Canis lupus familiaris: one gene and its partners. The protein of the gene in region 2 purifies or fractionates together with the protein of the main gene of each other region. This does not show direct contact. Links are inferred from orthologs where the notes say so. Each region holds a gene or a part of one and is shown on either strand. Other genes may lie near its edges. The genes, in order: EIF3B, EIF4B and EIF3A.

Region 1 (3,182 bases), on a different chromosome or scaffold from region 2:
TTCCAGTCCTGACCTGAAAGCCTCTGTGAATAGAGGGGTCCTCACGGCAGCCATTGCAGCAGGCATTACTGTTGGCCATGGCCCTCCCCGTGGTGGAGAGGGGCCTGTCATCCCCATGACTTTCCCCAACTCCGTGCTCAGGAACTGGTGGAGAGGAGACGCACCATGATGGAAGATTTCCGAAAATACCGGAAAATGGCCCAGGAGCTCTACATGGAGCAGAAGAGTGAACGTCTGGAATTGCGAGGAGGTAACTGTTAGCTGAGGATGTGCATAGTAGAATACGTCTCTGTGAAAATGTGTTTCTCCCCTGTTATGTGAGTTTTCCAGTTAAGTGTCATAAAGACCCTTAAATTGTCAGAGCACAGAGTTTCCCATGGTTGCAGGTTCACGCCCACGGGGCACCTTACTGTGATCACTCTGGGCTCTCAGCTGACGAGGGTGGGTGGGTGTGCATGTGTGTGCACACACCCCATTACCTCCTCCCCTACTTGCAGGCGTGGACACCGACGAGCTGGACAGCAACGTGGAGGACTGGGAAGAGGAGACCATCGAGTTCTTCGTCACTGAGGAGATCATCCCCCTGGGAAATCAGGAGTGACCTAAGCACAGGGGTAAGGCCTCTTCAGACAGGGATGAGCAGTACCCTAGTGGGTATTCTCTCTCCCCTGTTGTGTTGTCCCTTGAGTGAGGAAACCCCCAGATTCATGGCATTGGGGTCCATATGACCCTTGTGTGGGAGTCACAGAGGGTCCGGTGCACACCCAGGCTGTCAGAGCTGGAGCTTTTCTCCGAAAGTAGCAAAGCACCTAGCAAGTGGGGTTTGAGTGTGGCTAAGACACAGGGCTGGGGGGAGGACGGAGGCTGGCTGCGAACCATCTCTGGGCATTTGGCTGTGAGAGGGCCTTGGTGTGCCCAGCAGAGACGAGAGCCTTCAGAAGCCAGTCCGGCAAGGCTGGGCACTCACACTTCTCAGTAAGCGCTCGAGGAGGACCCAGAGCCATCGTGCCCAGGGCGGCCAGCGGGTGAGCATGACAGCTCCTCAGATAAACTATCTGCTGTTGAGGCTGCTCCCCCGGGGCGTCTGCTCCTATTCACCTTGGGCATCAGGTTGAAGCAGAGCTTGGGGTTTTCTTTTGCCTTCTGAGATGGTCTGGGGGCATCATCGGCGGTCGTTGTTGCTAACATGCCTCCTGTTGTCAAGGCATGGAGCAGAGACTGAACACTTGCTTCCTTTTTGCAGTGTCCCCACGTCTTGTGCTGGAACCAGGTTGTCCTGCGAGAAGCCTGCACAATGCCTGAATTCTCACCTGTGCTTTTTCTTGCTCTAGACTGTGCTCCCGGACTCCCCCATCTTCCACACATTACTGTGCCTTTAACCCCTGGTCTCCACCGCAGGGGAGGATGGAAGGCACTACTTTAAATTTTTTCTTGTTTGGGGTTTTTAAAATCACGCCACCAGTGTTTGTTACTCACACTCTCGTGCACTGCCACAGTGGCCCCTCGGCCTCCTGAAGTGCACAGCCGAGCCGTCTCCCCTCAAGGACTTGTCTGTCCCGTGTGCGTGGGCCAGTGTGGCTGTGTCCAGGACGCAACAGGGAGGCAGCACTCCACAGTGTCCTGGTGCCATTCAGGTTGTGCCAGGTTCTCTCAACGGGCTGAGTGTGGAAATAAAAGCAAACCTGTATGAAAACACTGTCTTTCTCCTCTCTTTAAACGTAGATAGCGGCCTTGAATCTGGTGCCTGTAGTCCCTGCCCTGACCATGGCGGCCCTCAGGGCTCAGCACACCCGCCTGCTGCTTGCCCACGAGGCTGACCTGGTAAGGAGGGAGGCCTCCAGCCTTGCGTAAGGTCATGCATTTTCAGCTGAGCACAGTCCCATCAGTGCAAAAAAAAAATACTCTGTTTTTGTTTTCCATGCTCTTTTCACCTGGTGAGAAAAATCCCTCTAGACTTTTTCTTGGAGTCCTACACGTTTAAAGTCTATGAGAATTGTCACTTTAGCCACTGTCACGTGGTCCTCTGAATATTTAACTTTATTCTGAAAAGAGGGTTGAACGAGTCAATGTAACCTGAACCTCTGCTTCCCATTGGTGCCTCATGAAGTTTCTGCTGCTCCACTTCTGTCTCCGGGAGCCTGACTCTTCGTCTGGGAAGCAGCAGAGCATAGGACGGGCACACCACATTTACCAGCCAGGGCTCGCATGAGCCTGAAGTGTTGTGGGATTGGAGGGGCCTGGCAGTCCCTGCCCCATAGGGCTGTGCTGGAGGAGCAGGCAGGCGGTCTGCTGTGGCCTGGGCCCGGCCATGAGGCACACTTGGCACTCCAGCCCCTGTTCAGTCATTGCTGTCCTGATGCCCCATTGGTGTGTGGGGTCCACTGTGTGTGTGTGTGTGTGTGTGCTCATGTCCTTTAAACCTCATCGTGCCAAGACCTAGGTTTTACATTTGATGGTAAGAGGAGGGTACAGGCTTTGGTCATTCTCACACATTTTTAACAGAGTTTTCAAAAAATTTACTTTTGATTGTTTTAAACTTGCTAGTTGTAATTGTTTTACATAATTTGTTAATAAAAGGATTTCTGAAATGCTTGTGCTTGTTCTGTTCTGTAGAAATGAATTTCCCGGGCAGAGAGATGGCCTGACCCATCTTGCGGGGCTGGGCTGGGGTGGCCCCTGCACTCTGGCTCCTCTGGCTGGGGCATTGGGGTGGGCACAGTTCCCGGCTCCCTGTGTGGGCCTGCCATCCTGGTCCTGTCTCTAGAGGCTGGCAGGACTTGTAGGTGTTTGCTCTTGTGTGGAAAGCAGATCCTTGGGCTCCTTTGGCAGCCTCCTGTGAGTCAGCCCAGAGCCTTTGTGGAAGGGTGATATGGACATTAGGTGGGAGGATCTCGTCTGTCCCCTTGCCTCAGTGATGGAGTGGGGACGTCATATAGAGCTAGCATTGACCTGATGTCCATAAGAGCACAGGAGCAGGCTGGGACAGCCATGGCGACTTGGAGGGAGTCACCTGAGCTCAGGCCTGGTGCCTGCCTCTGGACTGGCCTCTGTGGGCCTTCTAGCTCAATGCTGCAATCTCCCAAGTTGGAATTCTTGGGTTTGAACTTACCGTATTGTCAGACTGACCGCCATGTCTTTAATCAAATGTAGGAGCAGCGTGTGCACTGTTCTGGCTCTCCTAA
Region 2 (3,648 bases):
ACTTTTCGAGTGTTTTATTACTTAAGCCAGTGGTTGGTATACGTAAGCTTTATCTTTTGTATGTTTGAAATTATTTAGGATAAACACTAATTTTGAGAAATACAATTCCCTTGAAACACTAAGGTTTGTCTTAAAATATTCTGACAGTTTGGATCCAAGGAGAAATCAAATTCCTTTAGAGTTTATATTTAGCCATTTGGTACTGTATGCTTTGCTCCATGAATCATTATGAGATTTAGATTCCACACAGAGCCAAGAGTATAGGAAGTAGAGTCTTTCCCGTTGTATTGTCACAAGCTCTTCTCAGCCTCCTGAAGTAGTTCATCTTCCAGACCACGTTTTTTACCAAGATACTTGCATCCAGTAGTTTATCATAGTTGACCATTTCTTCCTAGTAATAGTAGCTGTGATGACTCACCATGTAAGTCCTCAGTGTGTAGCACAGCCTCATGGGTGGCGTAGTGGGAAGATTGATTGTCCTTGGTTGTTTAAACCACCCATTTATTTTCTAATGCTCTCCCTTCTCTACTGGATTGGCTAGGCTGCTACTCTCCCGTGTGGCATTTTCTTTTCTTTTAAGATTTTTATTTACTTGCTTATTCGTGAGAGACACAGGGAGAGGGGGAGAGACATAGGTAGAGAGAAGCAGACTCCTCGCGGGCATCCTGATGTAGGACTTGACCCCAGGACCATGGGATCACAACCTGTGCCAAAGATAGATGCTCAACCACATGTCCCCCCATGTGGCATTTTCTAAGAGCTGTGTCTGGGCATCTGACTTTTGGCCATCAGCTTCTGAGGATTTTGAAAAACTGTTACTTAGAGTTTTATTTAACTTAGGTCCCCCCCAAAGACCCAAACTGAATCTAAAGCCTCGGAGTACTCCTAAGGAAGATGATTCCTCCGCTAGCACCTCCCAGTCCAGTCGAGCGGCCTCTATCTTTGGAGGGGCAAAGCCTGTTGACACAGCTGCTAGAGAGCGAGAAGTAGAAGAGCGGCTGCAGAAGGAGCAGGAGAAGCTGCAGCGCCAGCTGGATGAGCCAAAACTAGAGCGACGGCCTCGAGAGAGGTGAGGCTCTCTTCAGTTACGGATCTCTGATCTGGGAACGAATTGCTTCCTGAAGGACGGGTGTGGTACACATCCCAGGGCACATCTGGGAAATTCATGCAGGCGTTATTAGTTGTCACTTAATAGCATCTAGTGTACACAGGCTGGGGCCAGTAGGTGCGCTGCAGTATATGGGACAGTTGAACCCTATGAAGAGTTAGTTGCCTGCCGGCCCTCGTGGCTTTTAAAGGGGCTTAACTGGGCTTAACTTCTGACAACTATAAATTGATGATCGATTAATAGAGGAGTAGGCAAATTACGGCCTATTCCTCCCCCCGCCCCAAATCCATTTATTTGAGAAAGAGCACAGAGAGAAGCGGACTGCTGAGCGGGGAGCCCGATGCGGGGCTCCATCCCAGGACCCTGGGATCACGACCTGAGCCGAAGACAGACATTTAACCAACTGAGCCACCCAGGTGCCCCAGTGCTGTTCCATATTTTGTAAATAAAATTTATCTGACCCATTAAAAAATTGACCAAATCTTGCTTTAGTATATGGGGTAAAGCCACCATTATGAGATGAGTGGAAGTGCCTCTATTCGAGTTGCTGGAATAAAGAGAAAATGTTTTTACTTCTATAAAACATAAACTATATATAAATTATTTTACATTTATTTTTACTCGTGTGTTATGTCAGGTATATTATTTAAGGATATTTCAGGATGGTAAAGGAGTCGGTAGTGAAGTGTTTGTTATTAAAAAGTGGCATTGGATCTAATGGGGTAGAAACCTGTAAAATGGCCTAGTTTTAAATGGCTTTTAGAGTTGTGTTACCAGTAAGGGAGGGCTGTAGGTTAGGTAGGAGAATATTCTTCATTCTAGTTGAAGCTTCAAGTGTTTAGAGCCAAAGTGTATTTATCTTTGTAGCTTTCAAATGGTTTGAGAGAAACAAGATGTGCACACCCACCCACAAATACAGCAAGCCTGATGAGTATGAAGTGATGGTTCTTGAGGGGTCAGCATGGGTCCAAAGTGGCCTTCAGTGAGCTGGACATAAGTTGTTTTCTTTTTTTTAATCTCTTTGTACAGACACCCAAGCTGGCGAAGTGAAGAGACTCAGGAACGGGAACGGTCCAGGACAGGAAGTGAGTCATCACAGACTGGGACCTCGGCCACAACTGGCAGAAGTAAGTCAGACCAGGGTGGGTATCACGTGTTATTGCCTCTTTCCATAAATGAGCCATAACCAAATTATGCAGTCACTGTGGGGTATTAAACTCAGTCATGGGGGCTTTATTTCGGTTAGCATAGGTTGAGCAGAATATTACATCTAGTCTGAAAAATCTAAGAAAATGGCATCAGAAGAGACTTGGGCGACCTGTTTAATGATCTTCTACTAAAGAGTATACTTGACTGTTAGATTTGTCCCTTCTTTTTGTTTTGACATTCCAGAATTTTCCTTTATTTAGAGCAGTCACAGTCCTACAGCTCTCTTGCCAGCCTTTTTGGATGTCCTGTACGACCAGAGCAATGTCTGGAGCGATGATCTTCTACTCTTGATCTTTCTTTCCTTCCTTCCTTCCTTGAATTTATCGATTGGTCACAAACATCTTTAGTGTTTTGGAAACTGAACTATTAAATCATAACATCTCTCTTCCCTTATTGCGAACCAGTGTTTTGTTTTTTAAGTTTCTTCCTCCCACCTCTAAGTTGATTTGTACTTGAGCATTTCAAAGCGTGGCTCCAGACTGAGATGATTTGGAAGTTCATCCAAGTGTTGTAGAAGTTTTCTGGAAATTATTCATACTGGAGTAGCTACCCTTTTAGTAACAGGAAGGTAATGTCTGTTTGTGACTAGGTGGAAGTGTGATGGTTGGATTGATACCTCCTGAGGAGGCTGCACTTAAAACGTAGAAAGAATCTGACAAAATAAACATTTAGTTGGTTTTCTGGTTTTGTTTTGTTTTTTTGCTTTTTTAAGATTTTATTTATTCATGAGACAAAGGCAGAGACAGGCAGAGGGAGAAGCAGGCTCCATGCAGGGATCCCGATGTGGGACTCGATCCCGGGACTCCAGGATCACACCCTGAGCCAGAGGCAAACGCTCAACCACTGAGCCACCCAGGCATCCCAAAACTTCTAGTTTTGAGAAGACATTTACTGCCCTTTAAAAAAAAAAAAAGATGGCCTGTTTTTCCTATATATCATATTGTGTGTGTGTGTGTGTGTGTGTGTGTGTGTGTGTGTGTGTGTGTGTGTTGAGCCTCCAACTTGGAGTTAACTCAGTGGATCCTGGGGTTTGAGATTTATCAGAGGTCCTCTTCACACACATATACATATTCTCTGGTGTAGACATTTTTTTTTTTTAATTTTTATTTATTTATGATAGTCACACACAGAGAGAGAGAGAGATAGAGAGAGAGAGGCAGAGACATAGGCAGAGGGAGAAGCAGGCTCCATGCACCGGGAGCCCGACGTGGGATTCAATCCCGGGTCTCCAGGATCACGCCCTGGACCAAAGGCAGGAGCTAAACCGCTGTGCCACCCAGGGATCCCTGGTGTAGACATTTTAACACTGAAAACGTAGCAAGGCTATAATC
Region 3 (4,229 bases), on a different chromosome or scaffold from region 2:
AGTTCAGACATTTAGAGTGGCCCAACCATTTTGGAGGAAGAACTCTATGAAATTAATTTTTAAACAACCTTTTTTTTTTTTTTTAATTTCTAGAATTTGAGATGTATTTTGTTTTTTTTGTTTTTTTTTTAAAGATTTTATTTTTTATTTTTTTTTTAATTTTTATTTATTTATGATAGTCACACACAGAGAGAGAGAGAGAGGCAGAGACACAGGCAGAGGGAGAAGCAGGCTCCATGCACCGGGAGCCCGACGTGGGATTCGATCCCGCGTCTCCAGGATCGCGCCCTGGGCCAAAGGCAGGCGCTAAACCGCTGCGCCACCCAGGGATCCCTTGAGATGTATTTTGTATCTGTGTCTCCATGTCTCGAGTTTCCTTTCTTTTTTGGTGATAGATCTAAATAGAAAAACCTCTTTGCTGAGGCCTAAAGAACGAGGGGAAGATGCTTTTCGCGTGTGTGGACTGTGGGTTCCTTGTCCCCTCGTAGAGAACTCTGCCGTTCGTTCTCATGTCCCATCCATTACTACAAAATGGGTAAAAAATTTGCAACAATTTATTCCATTGACGCTTTCTTAATTTTTCTCCTGAACCCGCCTTAATTTCATAGGGCTTGAGTTAACTAAGATTCAGTTCAAATGGCTTTCAAGTTCTGGGTGTTAATAGTTAATGATCGAACATTAATTAAGATTGTTGATCAGTAACAAAGGGCTGTAGCAAAGGGCCTGAGAAATTGATCCCTCCTACCCCCCCAGGAACACTCATCATTATTATTTTTATGTTCAGCATAACGTGAAGGCGACAACACTCCCATGTATCTTCCAACATGACGCACAGCCAGATTACCGTCCCCAGTTCGTCCCCATCTTTCAGGTCTCAGCTCAAAACTCACCTTCTCCGAGGGTCCCCATTCCCCAGGCAACCTTTGTGTCAGCGACTTTTTTTATTTCGCCCATAGGAAACAAGCTCACTGATTTATCTACTGCGTCCCTCCTGCCCCCGGGGGGCCGTCGAGGGCTGCTCACTACTAGGCCGCCGCGGCGCGCTGCATTTCCCATAAACGGACGGACCAGGCATTCTCGCGCAGCTCAGCTCGTTCCCGGGGCGGGTGGGACCCGACTGCAACTTTGCATGACTGCGCACAAAGCAGGTCCCAAACCGGTGCAGACGCCTTCCTCCTCGCCAGGCAGAGCCTCCGACCCACACCTCACGTTTCCCAGCTCGATTCTCGCTCGAGGAGCGAGGGGCCTGAGAACCTGCCCCGCAACGTGCCCGCCCCGCACGGAGGGCGCCCGCCGCCGCCGCCGCCGCCGCCGCCACGTCAGCCGGCGCGCGCGACCACAGCGCGCCTGCGCGCGCAGGACCGCCCCCTACATCCGGGGCTTGGGCGGCGGCGGCGCCGCCGTGCGGGGGTCACGTGGCTCCTTCCTTTCCGTCTCTGGCCGGCTGGGCGCGGGCGACTGCTGGCGAGGCGCGTGGAGCCTCGCGCTGGTTCCCCTTCGTCTCCCCTCCCGGCCCGGGCCACTAAGGAGTTCGCTGACGCCGGGTGAGCCGAGCCTGCCGCCAAGATGCCGGCCTATTTCCAGAGGCCGGAAAATGCCCTCAAACGCGCCAACGGTGAGTCGGGAATCGGGGCGCGCCGGGCTGGGTCGGCCCGAGGCGCCTCGGAGGTCGAGGGACCCGGGCCTGCGTCTCGCCGCTCTGCTGCTCGGCTGCGGCCCGAGAGGTCGATGCGACCTGCCCGCCGCCGCCCCGGCCCGTGGTGGGCACGGTCTGCCTTCTCGCTCCGACCGACCGACCGGGGCGGGTGGGAGGCGCGGACCCGGGAACCGTCGCGGGGGGGGGGGGGGCTCTTCCTCCCCCCGCCCCCCCCCCGCCGCCTCCTGGTGCGTCTCGCGGGCCGCGGCCCCAAGACGGGCTTCCGAGGCCCGAGTTCCTTTGCCCCGCTTCTCCGCCTCCGCCCCGCGCCCCAGGCCGCCGGGCCCTCGGCTGCTGAGGCCCCGCGCCCCCAGCCGCCATCTGGGAGTGCCGGGGAGGAAGAAACATGGCTCCCTCCCGGGGACAATGCACGCGAGAACCTCGACTCCACCTCCTGCCGGCGCCGGGAGCCGGGCAGTCCCACCCCCGGCCCTCCCGCGGGCACCTCCGCCCCCCAAATCCAGCGCCGGGCTTTGCTGGGTCAGGGTCCACTCACCCTTTCCCCCAGTCCCCGGAGCTCTGCCGCGGAGACACTGACCCATTTAACCTGTTATCTGCTCTTCCTGGCATTGACTATCGGCCGCCCCGAAGCCTATTCTAAGCCGCATGAAGTTGGAACAGAGTTAATACCGTGAGAGAGAGACTTCAAGTTCTCTCTTAAAGATAACGAAATTGAAGCCTGGAGAGAGAGAGAGAGAGAGAGAGAATGTTTACCCAAGGTCACTCTGGGAGTTAGTAGTTGAGCCAGGAGACTGGAACCGAGGTCTCTAGACTTGCAGATCAGTCGTCTTCCCCCCCCCCCCCCCCCCCCCCCTCGCTGCAGCGGCTACTGCCTGCGATTTTTATTTCCATGTGGGTTAAAGCCACAGGCCCTTTAGGGAAAACTTGTGCCTGTGCGGGTCTGTTCAAGAGGCATTTATTACGTTGGCATTATGGGGCTGCAAATGTATCATGCATTGCTCTGGTCTTAAAAAAAAAAACAAAAAAAACTTTCGTTTAGAGTTTTTTAAGCCCAACAATTTCTAAGTGTGTAGAGCGTCCATAGCTCTTATTTTCACCTTCCTCTACCTAAACAAGCTTTGGGTCTTAACCCATGCTGTAGGTTGTTACACTGTGTCTCTTAGAATTTTATGTTTATGAAGTTCTATTTGTTGACTTGTTTGAAAAATTCCTCTTGGGAAAAATTGGCCAATTTCAGTCAATACATAAAATGAATACTCCTGATAACCTATCAGGACTAAAGGTTACTTAAAAAAATTTTTTTAATAACGTGTCTGCTATTTTAAAAGTAGCAATTTGGGGGTTAAGAGTGTGAAATTGGGTAATTCCATATTATTTGGATTCGAGTACAGCATCTGTCTTAAAATCATTTAAAACTACAACTTAGATCTGATGGCTAGTCATTTTAACCAGTGATCTAATAGTTAAAATAGGCAAGAATTAAGGACGTTAATTTCTAGGAAAGAAAATAGATTGAAGTGGAAATTCATCACTACAAAATGAACTGTAGTAAAGTTAATTTTTTTTCTTATGTTTAGAAACTTACGGTATATAGAGTGACTTGGATTCAGTTACTGTTCTAATTGCTATTGTAGATCTGCTTTACAGTCATTTGCTTTACTGACAAGTGTCTTTCCCATGCTAATAGGCTGAAGCACTGAAATTTTCATGGCCTAAATACTACACTTTTGATGTGTTCAGGCCTTGTTTCTTTCATCACTCCTCCCTCTGAATGGTCATATAAGCTTAGTATGTCAGTAATTTTTTTAAATTAGAAGGGTTTTTGGATGTGTAACATCTTAAATCTTTTTTCACATTTTCTAACTTGGGAGAAAGCATCTGAAATGAAAGTAGGCAACGTGAGCAAGGGGCACCCTGGCGGGGGTTGTGTCGGTTTTTTAAAAGGCTGTACTGACTCCTTGCTGCAGTCCTTTTAAAATGTAGGTTGGGTGTTTCTGTAGTAGAGGGCTTAGCATTCAACTAGTAATTTCTGTACCTTTGATCTTGTGAATGAGATTCTGTCTGTAAGTGTTAAAAGTGAGCAGAATGTGGATGACACACGGCACTGCTTACAAAACTAGGATTATAAAAGCATATTCCATTCGATAGAGATAATCTCATTTTATGTCAACATTTTATCTATACCATTTGTAGCATCAAACACATTTAGAATTAATCCATTGCATTGTCTTAATAAAATGTGAGTAAATTTAAGTTGAATAGTTCTCCAGGTAACTCTGAATCTGTAATTCAGAACAATATTTTTGGAGACGATTATAGTAATCATTCAGGAAGATGAGAACTTGGCCCAGCAGTTAGAGGCAAGAAATTCATACACTGAAATCATTTGGAAAAAGCCCCAGATTATGTTGTTAGTTCTTTGGAATTCATTGCTCCTGATCTTGTAACAGCCTTTTAATTTTGATTCTACTAGTGTTTTATCAAGTTGTTTAAACTCACAAATTGTGTAACACTGTAGCTTATCTACTTGGTCTGTTGTACAAGTAAGCTAGTAATATTGAAGGACAGACCT

The links.
Region 1: the proteins of EIF4B (region 2) and EIF3B purify together in Homo sapiens (affinity purification with mass spectrometry; 3 studies listed by BioGRID and IntAct, with this or other methods). This does not show direct contact. The link is inferred for Canis lupus familiaris from reciprocal best matches to the Homo sapiens genes EIF4B and EIF3B.
Region 3: the proteins of EIF4B (region 2) and EIF3A purify together in Homo sapiens (co-immunoprecipitation; 3 studies listed by BioGRID and IntAct, with this or other methods). This does not show direct contact. The link is inferred for Canis lupus familiaris from reciprocal best matches to the Homo sapiens genes EIF4B and EIF3A.

What each region holds. Positions count from the first base shown.
Region 1 is NC_049227.1:14,923,762-14,926,943, reverse strand, and holds the end of EIF3B (eukaryotic translation initiation factor 3 subunit B), read left to right. Parts: intron 1-141; coding exon 142-250; intron 251-497; coding exon 498-601; 3' UTR 602-614; intron 615-922; exon of another isoform or gene 923-1,025; intron 1,026-1,243; 3' UTR 1,244-2,588; downstream 2,589-3,182.
Region 2 is NC_049248.1:44,524,637-44,528,284, forward strand, and holds part of EIF4B (eukaryotic translation initiation factor 4B), read left to right. Parts: intron 1-840; coding exon 841-1,069; intron 1,070-2,137; coding exon 2,138-2,250; intron 2,251-3,648. UniProt on the Homo sapiens protein: Required for the binding of mRNA to ribosomes. Functions in close association with EIF4-F and EIF4-A. Binds near the 5'-terminal cap of mRNA in presence of EIF-4F and ATP.
Region 3 is NC_049249.1:29,623,208-29,627,436, reverse strand, and holds the start of EIF3A (eukaryotic translation initiation factor 3 subunit A), read left to right. Parts: upstream 1-1,409; 5' UTR 1,410-1,566; coding exon 1,567-1,615; intron 1,616-4,229. Other genes in the region: DENND10 (DENN domain-containing protein 10), read right to left, coding at 891-1,056. UniProt on the Homo sapiens protein: RNA-binding component of the eukaryotic translation initiation factor 3 (eIF-3) complex, which is required for several steps in the initiation of protein synthesis.